Macaca mulatta: one gene and its partner. Each later gene encodes a partner of the first gene's protein in a complex. Links are inferred from orthologs where the notes say so. Each region holds a gene or a part of one and is shown in the gene's direction. Other genes may lie near its edges.

Region 1 (3,652 bases):
ACTTACAACTGTGGAACAGAATCACGAGTTTGTGGACGAACAAGTCTTTGAAGAAAGCTGCATGGAAGTTGCAACTGTTAATCGTCCTTCAAGTCACAGTCCCTCACTGTCTTCACAACAAGGAGTCACCAGCACCTGCTGTTCACGACGACACAAAAAAACTTTTCGCATCCCAAATGCCAACGTATCAGGAAGCCATCGAGGTAGTGTACAAGAACTCAGCACGATTCAGATCAGATGTGTGGAGAGAACGCCTCTATCTAACAGGTACCTGAGATTAATCTGTGTTGTCTGCACACCTGTGCTGGTTCCCAGGGTGTGTCTTCTGCACTCATGTTGTCACATATGTGGCATCTAAATTCCTAGCTCCTATGGTTCAGGAAGAGACAAAACTGGTAGTGTAACAAGTAGGAAAGTGGTTCTACTTGCATATCCATTAAGGGTTAAAAGTAGCAGTTATATCAATATTCAAAGAGTCAAAAGAAGGAAACATGATTGGGTGGACACAAATGTGTTTTTCTCTCTTCTGCTCCACAACCTTTTCTTTCTTGGGCAAGGACTTTTATACTCAGGATTCTCTTATATATTCAATAGCCTGAAATGATGGTGGACACTACTAAAAGAGTCAAATGAAATTGAGATCAACATGGCTAAAAGTTATTTAACAGCATGTAAAAATATACAAACACACTCTCTGTAGCAGTAAAAATGAAAACTTTGCCTACACAAATCATTTATATCAATATATAATTTTGATCAGAAAGATATTTTTGGCCATATCAAACACAAAATCAACATAATACAAAAATAAGTGAAGTACTAAAATTGTTTGCCTCTGGTTAGTTCATGAACAAGTTAAGTAAAACTTCCGTATTGATATTTTTGCTTTGCTTTTCCTTATTCACTGTCTTTACCACAAATGTGTAAAACGAAAAAGTAGTACACTTAAACAATATATGTCATTAAAATATAAGTTTCTGCCAAAATAATTTTATTCTGTTTTCAAATTGAATAGCATATGTTTTTAGTGTTAGAGTCTGTAAATTCAGTCCCCTTCTTTCTTGGCATTCAAAAGTCTTTGTTGAAATCTGGATGAGATTCTGAATTCAGGTGATGTCGATTTACATAAATTGGATGTCTCTGGGACTAGAAAATTAAACTTAGGAGCCATAAGACTTCTATCTTAAAGATATTTTAGCTTTGCAGCCTTATATCCTTTATAAAAGGAAGTCAACAATGGAAAAGTATCGAGCAAGAAAATCTTAGGACATAAACATCTTAATTATGTTTTCCATGAAAATAAAATAATTAGGTTCAAGCTTCTGTGTATATCCTTCTCTCTCATTTCCCTTTTATCCGCTTCTCCATATAGAGTATACAATTCATCCAAGAATACCATTTGGGAAAACCTTAAAGTATTAGATAGTAATAGATAAATTTTTTGATTTTTATAATATGTGGTCATCATTAAGTTGAGAGATTTGAGGGCATTATACATCCCAAAAAGACATGAAAATAAAAATATTCTGTGGTCAAAAGAATTAAGAAATCAATGTGATATGGCTCTTTCATAGTGGTTTCTCAAACCTCTTAGAGGTCCTGTCTTAAATAAAACTACTTTGTTCAGCCCAGGCTGTCCAAATCTTACTTGATGCTCTTTCTTTCTTACATTTTTTAATAATACTTTTAGTTTGATAAACACTTGATGGAACCAAGTGAAACTGTCTTTTAGAAATTTATTTAATGTTAATTACTGACTATATTCATCTTTAACATAGATTAAGATTTGGGGTTTGATATTTTTAATTATAATAACTTTCCTTAGACAATTAAAATGTTTTTATAAGCATTACAACACATATTCCTCAGTTGTATGAAAAAAATTTAACTAAACAACTTACTTTCTTAATTTTTTTTTCTATCAGCCGATCCAGTTTAAATGCCAAAATGGAAGAGTGTGTTAAACTAAACTGTGAACAACCTTATGTGACTACAGCAATAATAAGCATCCCAACACCTCCAGTAACCACACCAGAGGGAGACGATAGGCCAGAATCTCCTGAGTACTCAGGAGGAAATATTGTCAGAGTTTCTGCTTTGTAAGACACTTGGAATAGGGTTTAAGAGAATTTGAGTCCTGGCTGTGAAAAGAATCTCAACGTAGAAGAAAGAAGAAACTAATATTCTGCAGATTAAGGCAGCAAAGCAAGAAGGTTGGAAATGAAACAAAAACAAAGCTTCCAATCTTAAGGATGTGAATAAAACCACCAAATGGCATTTCTAGACAGTTTGACCTGTTACACAGAGTAATATTCTGTGGCCCTTTGACTTTGTGAATGAGCACAATGAAATGCCGCCTATTGATGCTTCTTATGATCAGAACTCTTTTTTAATAAAATAAATAAAATAAATCTTTGAACATAATGTTCCAGTTGAATGCAAAACAAAAAAAATATGGAAAACATTTTGATAAAATTTTTTCCTGTTAAAACCATGAACATTGGCTATGATGAAGATTATTACATATGAAAAAAAAAACACAACATATTTGTATTGACTGAAGGAAACCATCATAATGCATGCTAGAATTCTTTGAAGCAGTGATCTCAGTTTCTTTATGTTGTCTTCAGAATAGGCATGATAAACTATAATTGTAGAAAGGGGTAATTTCTGTGCACTTACAACAAGCTGAGTGTTCATGTTCCATGGTGGGCTGTGCAAATAAACTCCTTTTAGAACTGCAGTATTTCTCATGGGGATACTCATTAGTAAATCTAAAGTGTTCAGATAGTTCAGTATTAATTATCGTTTAACTTTGCACCTAGATACTGTTACAACTGCAATAATTCATTGTACAACTGTTGTATCAGGAATCAGGATTTTTCTGTTGTTGTACTTTCCAGATCTTTATAGATACGGTAGGAGCCACGTTCGTAGAAAAACTTCTGGTGTGGCCAGGTTTTAGGTAACTTTTTAATCCAAAACTATTGTGCCATAAATGTTTTTCAGTAATATTCTTTGGTCCACTGTATTCCTGTGACAGTGCATTATCTGTTCTTGTATTTCTATAGCACCTTTCTATTGGGTTTATCATCATCAACAAGACTAATGTTTACTGTAGTTCAAGTGACTTTCCTACTTTTGTATTTCAAAAAAAAAAAAAAATTATCTTGTAAGTAGATTGTCCTCAATCCCCTTGTCAAAAATGAGAAAAAAAAGGAGTTGACCCATGTGAATTATCACTAACGTCTTTGTTGTTTATGGAAAAGCCCAGATACTGGATCTATCACTATGTATTTTATGAAAAGAATTGACTGGGACTAATATCACAGGATCGGTCATCTCAGAATCTTACTTGATGTATTATTTATTTTGCCTCAGATCTTGAATACATTTTGAGAATAACTAATGTGGATTGAAATGTAGAGATAAACTAGAGGGCTTTATTGAGCAATATTTGATGAAAGCATGCTTTCTACACCATTCAGGAAGGCAGCACAAATTTATCTCAGAAAAGTTCCTGTGTATTGCGAGGTACAATTTTCTCCAATAAATCAGGAGGACAGGAGTTTGATGATGCAAAGTTGATCTCTGTACATTTAAGTGAAAAGTTTTTATAACTTTTCACCCTTAAAATATGTCAGCAGACATG
Region 2 (3,206 bases), on another chromosome or scaffold:
GATTCTGGAGGGGCTGGGAATGCCAAGGTGATGGGGGGTATGGGGAGCTCCATAGAAGGAGGAAGTCCTCTCCTGTGTGGAAGCCAACTTCTCCACACTCACCCTGCAGACTCCAGCACCTATGCCACTTTTCTCTTCAATGCCTTTGACACCAACCATGATGGCTCGGTCAGTTTTGAGGTGAGCTGGGCGAGGTGGGCCAGGGAAGCCTGTTTCCTGGACTTCAGGGCCAGGATCTCCAGGCCAAACCCAGGGAAGGGGTTGGGTGAAGAGTACCTGAAGACACAGCTCCCTCCTGCCTCCTTCCCAGGACTTTGTGGCTGGTTTGTCCGTGATTCTTCGGGGAACTGTAGATGACAGGCTTAACTGGGCCTTCAACTTGTATGACCTCAACAAGGATGGCTGCATCACCAAGGAGGTGCAGGGCAACTGAAGGGCTGGGGGGCTGTGGCACTGATGGGGGTGGTGTGCAGAGGGTGATGGGAGGGAAATATGACCCATATATGCCCACAAGCAAGGGATCAAGGGAGGCTGGAGGCTCTGAGGAAGCATCCTCTTGTCTCTTGGCCTAACAGGAAATGCTTGACATCATGAAGTCCATCTACGACATGATGGGCAAGTACACATACCCTGCACTCCGGGAGGAGGCCCCAAGGGAACATGTGGAGAACTTCTTCCAGGTACTTGGGACTGGGTAGGCTGGAGGGCCCTGGAGTGAAGAGAAGGAGACCAAGAACCAGCAGGGAACTCACCTGACTTCTGTCTGCCTCTCTTGCCCATCCCTCCTGTTCTCCCTGCCTGACCACCTTCTTGCAGAAGATGGACAGAAACAAGGATGGCGTGGTGACCATTGAGGAATTCATTGAGTCTTGTCAAAAGGTACAGCTCCCTGCCCTCGACATTACCCTGACCTGGACTCAGGCCTGATTTAGTAATGTAGGGAAAAACTTCTTTGGGCAGAATACCACCTCCCCATCTCACCCCCACATTTCAATCCTATTCCTTTGTGGGAGGCTTACCCCTTCCCTACCTCAGGTCTCTCTGGGCATCTCCTTCCTCTGTGCCTTTGAATGTCCCCATCTGTGACTCAGTGTCCCTCTCCCTGTCTCTGATAAGCTCCTTCTCTTTCTGTCTCTTCAATCTGCCTCGCTCACACCATGGCCACAGGATGAGAACATCATGAGGTCCATGCAGCTCTTTGACAATGTCATCTAGCCCCCAGGAGAGGGGGTCAGTGTTTCCTGGGGGGACCATGCTCTAACCCTAGTCCAGGTGGACCTCACCCTTCTCTTCCCAGGTCTATCCTTGTCCTAGGCCTCCCTGGGGGCTGGAGGGATCCAAGAGCTTGGGGATTCAGTAGTCCAGATCTCTGGAGCTGAAGGGGCCAGAGAGTGGGCAGAGTGCATCTTGGGGGGTGTTCCCAACTTCCACCAGCTCTCACCCGCTTCCTGCCTGACACCCAGTGTTGAGAGTGCCCCTCCTGTAGGAACTGAGTGGTTCCCCACCTCCTACCCCCACTCTAGAAACACACTAGACAGATGTCTCCTGCTATGGTGCTTCCCCCATCCCTGACTTCATAAACATTTCCCCTAAAACTCCCTTCTCAGAGAGAATGCTCCATTCTTGGCACTGGCTGGCTTCTCAGACCAGCCTTTGAGAGCCCTGTGGGAGGGGGACAAGAATGTATAGGGGAGAAATCTTGGGCCTGAGTCAATGGATAGGTCCTAGGAGGTGGCTGGGGTTGAGAATAGAAAGGCCTGGACACAATGTGATTGCTCAGGCATACCAGGTTATAGCTCCAAGTTCCACAGGTCTGCTACCACAGGCCATCAAAATATAAGTTTCCAGGCTTTGCAGAAGACCTTGTCTCCTTGGAAATGCCCCAGATATTTTCCATACCCTCCTCGATATCCATGGAGAGCCTGGGGCTAGATATCTGGCATATCCCTGGCATTGCTTCCTCTCCTTCCTTCCTGCATGTGTTGGTGGTGGTTGTGGCAGGGGAATGTGGATAGGAGATGTCCTGGCTGATGCCTGCCAAAGTTTCATCCCACCCTCCCTGCTCATCGCCCCTGTTTTGAGGGCTGTGACTTGAGTTTTTGTTTCCCATGTTCTCTATAGACTTGGGACCTTCCTGAACTTGGGGCCTATCACTCCCCACAGTGGATGCCTTAGAAGGGAGAGGGAAGGAGGGAGGCAGGCATAGCATCTGAACCCAGTGTGGGGGCATTCACTAGGATCTTCAATCAACCCGGGCTCTCCCCAACCCCCCAGATAACCTCCTCAGTTCCCTAGAGTCTCCTCTTGCTCTACTCAATCTACCCAGAGATGCCCCTTAGCACACTCAGAGGGCAGGGACCATAGGACCCAGGTTCCAACCCCATTGTCAGCACCCCAGCCATGCTGCCATCCCTTAGCACACCTGCTCGTCCCATTCAGCTTACCCTCCCAGTCAGCCAGAATCTGAGGGGAGGGCCCCCAGAGAGCCCCCTTCCCCATCAGAAGACTGTTGACTGCTTTGCATTTTGGGCTCTTCTATATATTTTGTAAAATAAGAACTATACCAGATCTAATAAAACACAATGGCTATGCACAGGCTGCCGTCTCTGCCTTTTGTCCCTCCCACCTACAAATACTACACAACCCCTAACTCATGCACCTGCAGCCTTTTAGATCCCCAGGAAAGTAGCTTTCTTTTCCATAGTTGGCCATACCTTGGCATGAGACTGAGACATAGGCTCTGGAATGGTTGGAAACCCACCGAACCTCAGGCCCCCACATGAATCTCCCTCCCACACAGCCTGAGAGGAGACAAGGAAGGAAGGACAGGACACTGATGTCCCAAAGACTGTGCCAAGCAAGCTGTTTTTTAGCTGACATTCTTACAAGTTGAATCACAGATTTCTAATTTACAGACTTTTTAGTTAATCTCAAAGTGCTTTCTTTTGAGGGGGCTCCCTTTACTTTTTTTCTTCTTCTTCTTCTTTTTTTTTTTTTTTTTTTGAGATGGAATCTCTCTCTTTCGCCCAGGCTAGAGTGCAGTGGCCAGATCTCGGCTTTACTGCAGCCTCCGCTTCCTGGGTTCAAGCAATTCTCCGGCGTCAGCTTCCCGAACAGCTGGGATTACAGGCGTGCGCTGCTATGCCCGGCTTATTTTTGTATTTTTAGTAGAGACAGAGTTTTCGCCATGGTGGCCAGGCTGGTCT

Evidence for each region.
Region 2: the proteins of KCND2 (region 1) and KCNIP2 are in contact, whole or in part, in a cryo-EM structure (PDB 7UKH), measured with the Homo sapiens proteins. The link is inferred for Macaca mulatta from reciprocal best matches to the Homo sapiens genes KCND2 and KCNIP2. Residues at the interface, in NP_036413.1 of Homo sapiens: Val5, Ala7, Trp8, Leu9, Pro10, Phe11, Ala12, Arg13, Ala14, Ala15, Ile17, Gly18, Trp19, Met20, Pro21, Val22, Ala23, Ser24, Gly25, Pro26, Met27, Pro28, Ala29, Pro30, Trp55, Asp57, Arg61, Arg100; in NP_775283.1 of Homo sapiens: Arg112, Gly113, Phe114, Asn116, Glu117, Cys118, Val123, Phe128, Ile131, Tyr132, Gln134, Phe135, Phe136, Tyr144, Leu148, Phe152, Phe165, Leu169, Ile172, Leu173, Arg180, Trp183, Ala184, Leu187, Tyr188, Met201, Met205, Ile208, Met211, His228.

The regions. Positions count from the first base shown.
Region 1 is NC_133408.1:160,514,271-160,517,922, forward strand, and holds part of KCND2 (A-type voltage-gated potassium channel KCND2), read left to right. Parts: intron 1-19; coding exon 20-267; intron 268-1,925; coding exon 1,926-2,103; 3' UTR 2,104-3,652. UniProt on the Homo sapiens protein: Voltage-gated potassium channel that mediates transmembrane potassium transport in excitable membranes, primarily in the brain. Mediates the major part of the dendritic A-type current I(SA) in brain neurons.
Region 2 is NC_133414.1:113,910,921-113,914,126, reverse strand, and holds the end of KCNIP2 (A-type potassium channel modulatory protein KCNIP2), read left to right. Parts: exon of another isoform or gene 1-109; coding exon 110-180; exon of another isoform or gene 181-310; coding exon 311-418; intron 419-575; coding exon 576-680; exon of another isoform or gene 681-709; intron 710-816; coding exon 817-879; coding exon of another isoform or gene 880-927; exon of another isoform or gene 928-1,065; intron 1,066-1,167; coding exon 1,168-1,215; 3' UTR 1,216-2,598; downstream 2,599-3,206. UniProt on the Homo sapiens protein: Regulatory subunit of Kv4/D (Shal)-type voltage-gated rapidly inactivating A-type potassium channels. Modulates channel density, inactivation kinetics and rate of recovery from inactivation in a calcium-dependent and isoform-specific manner.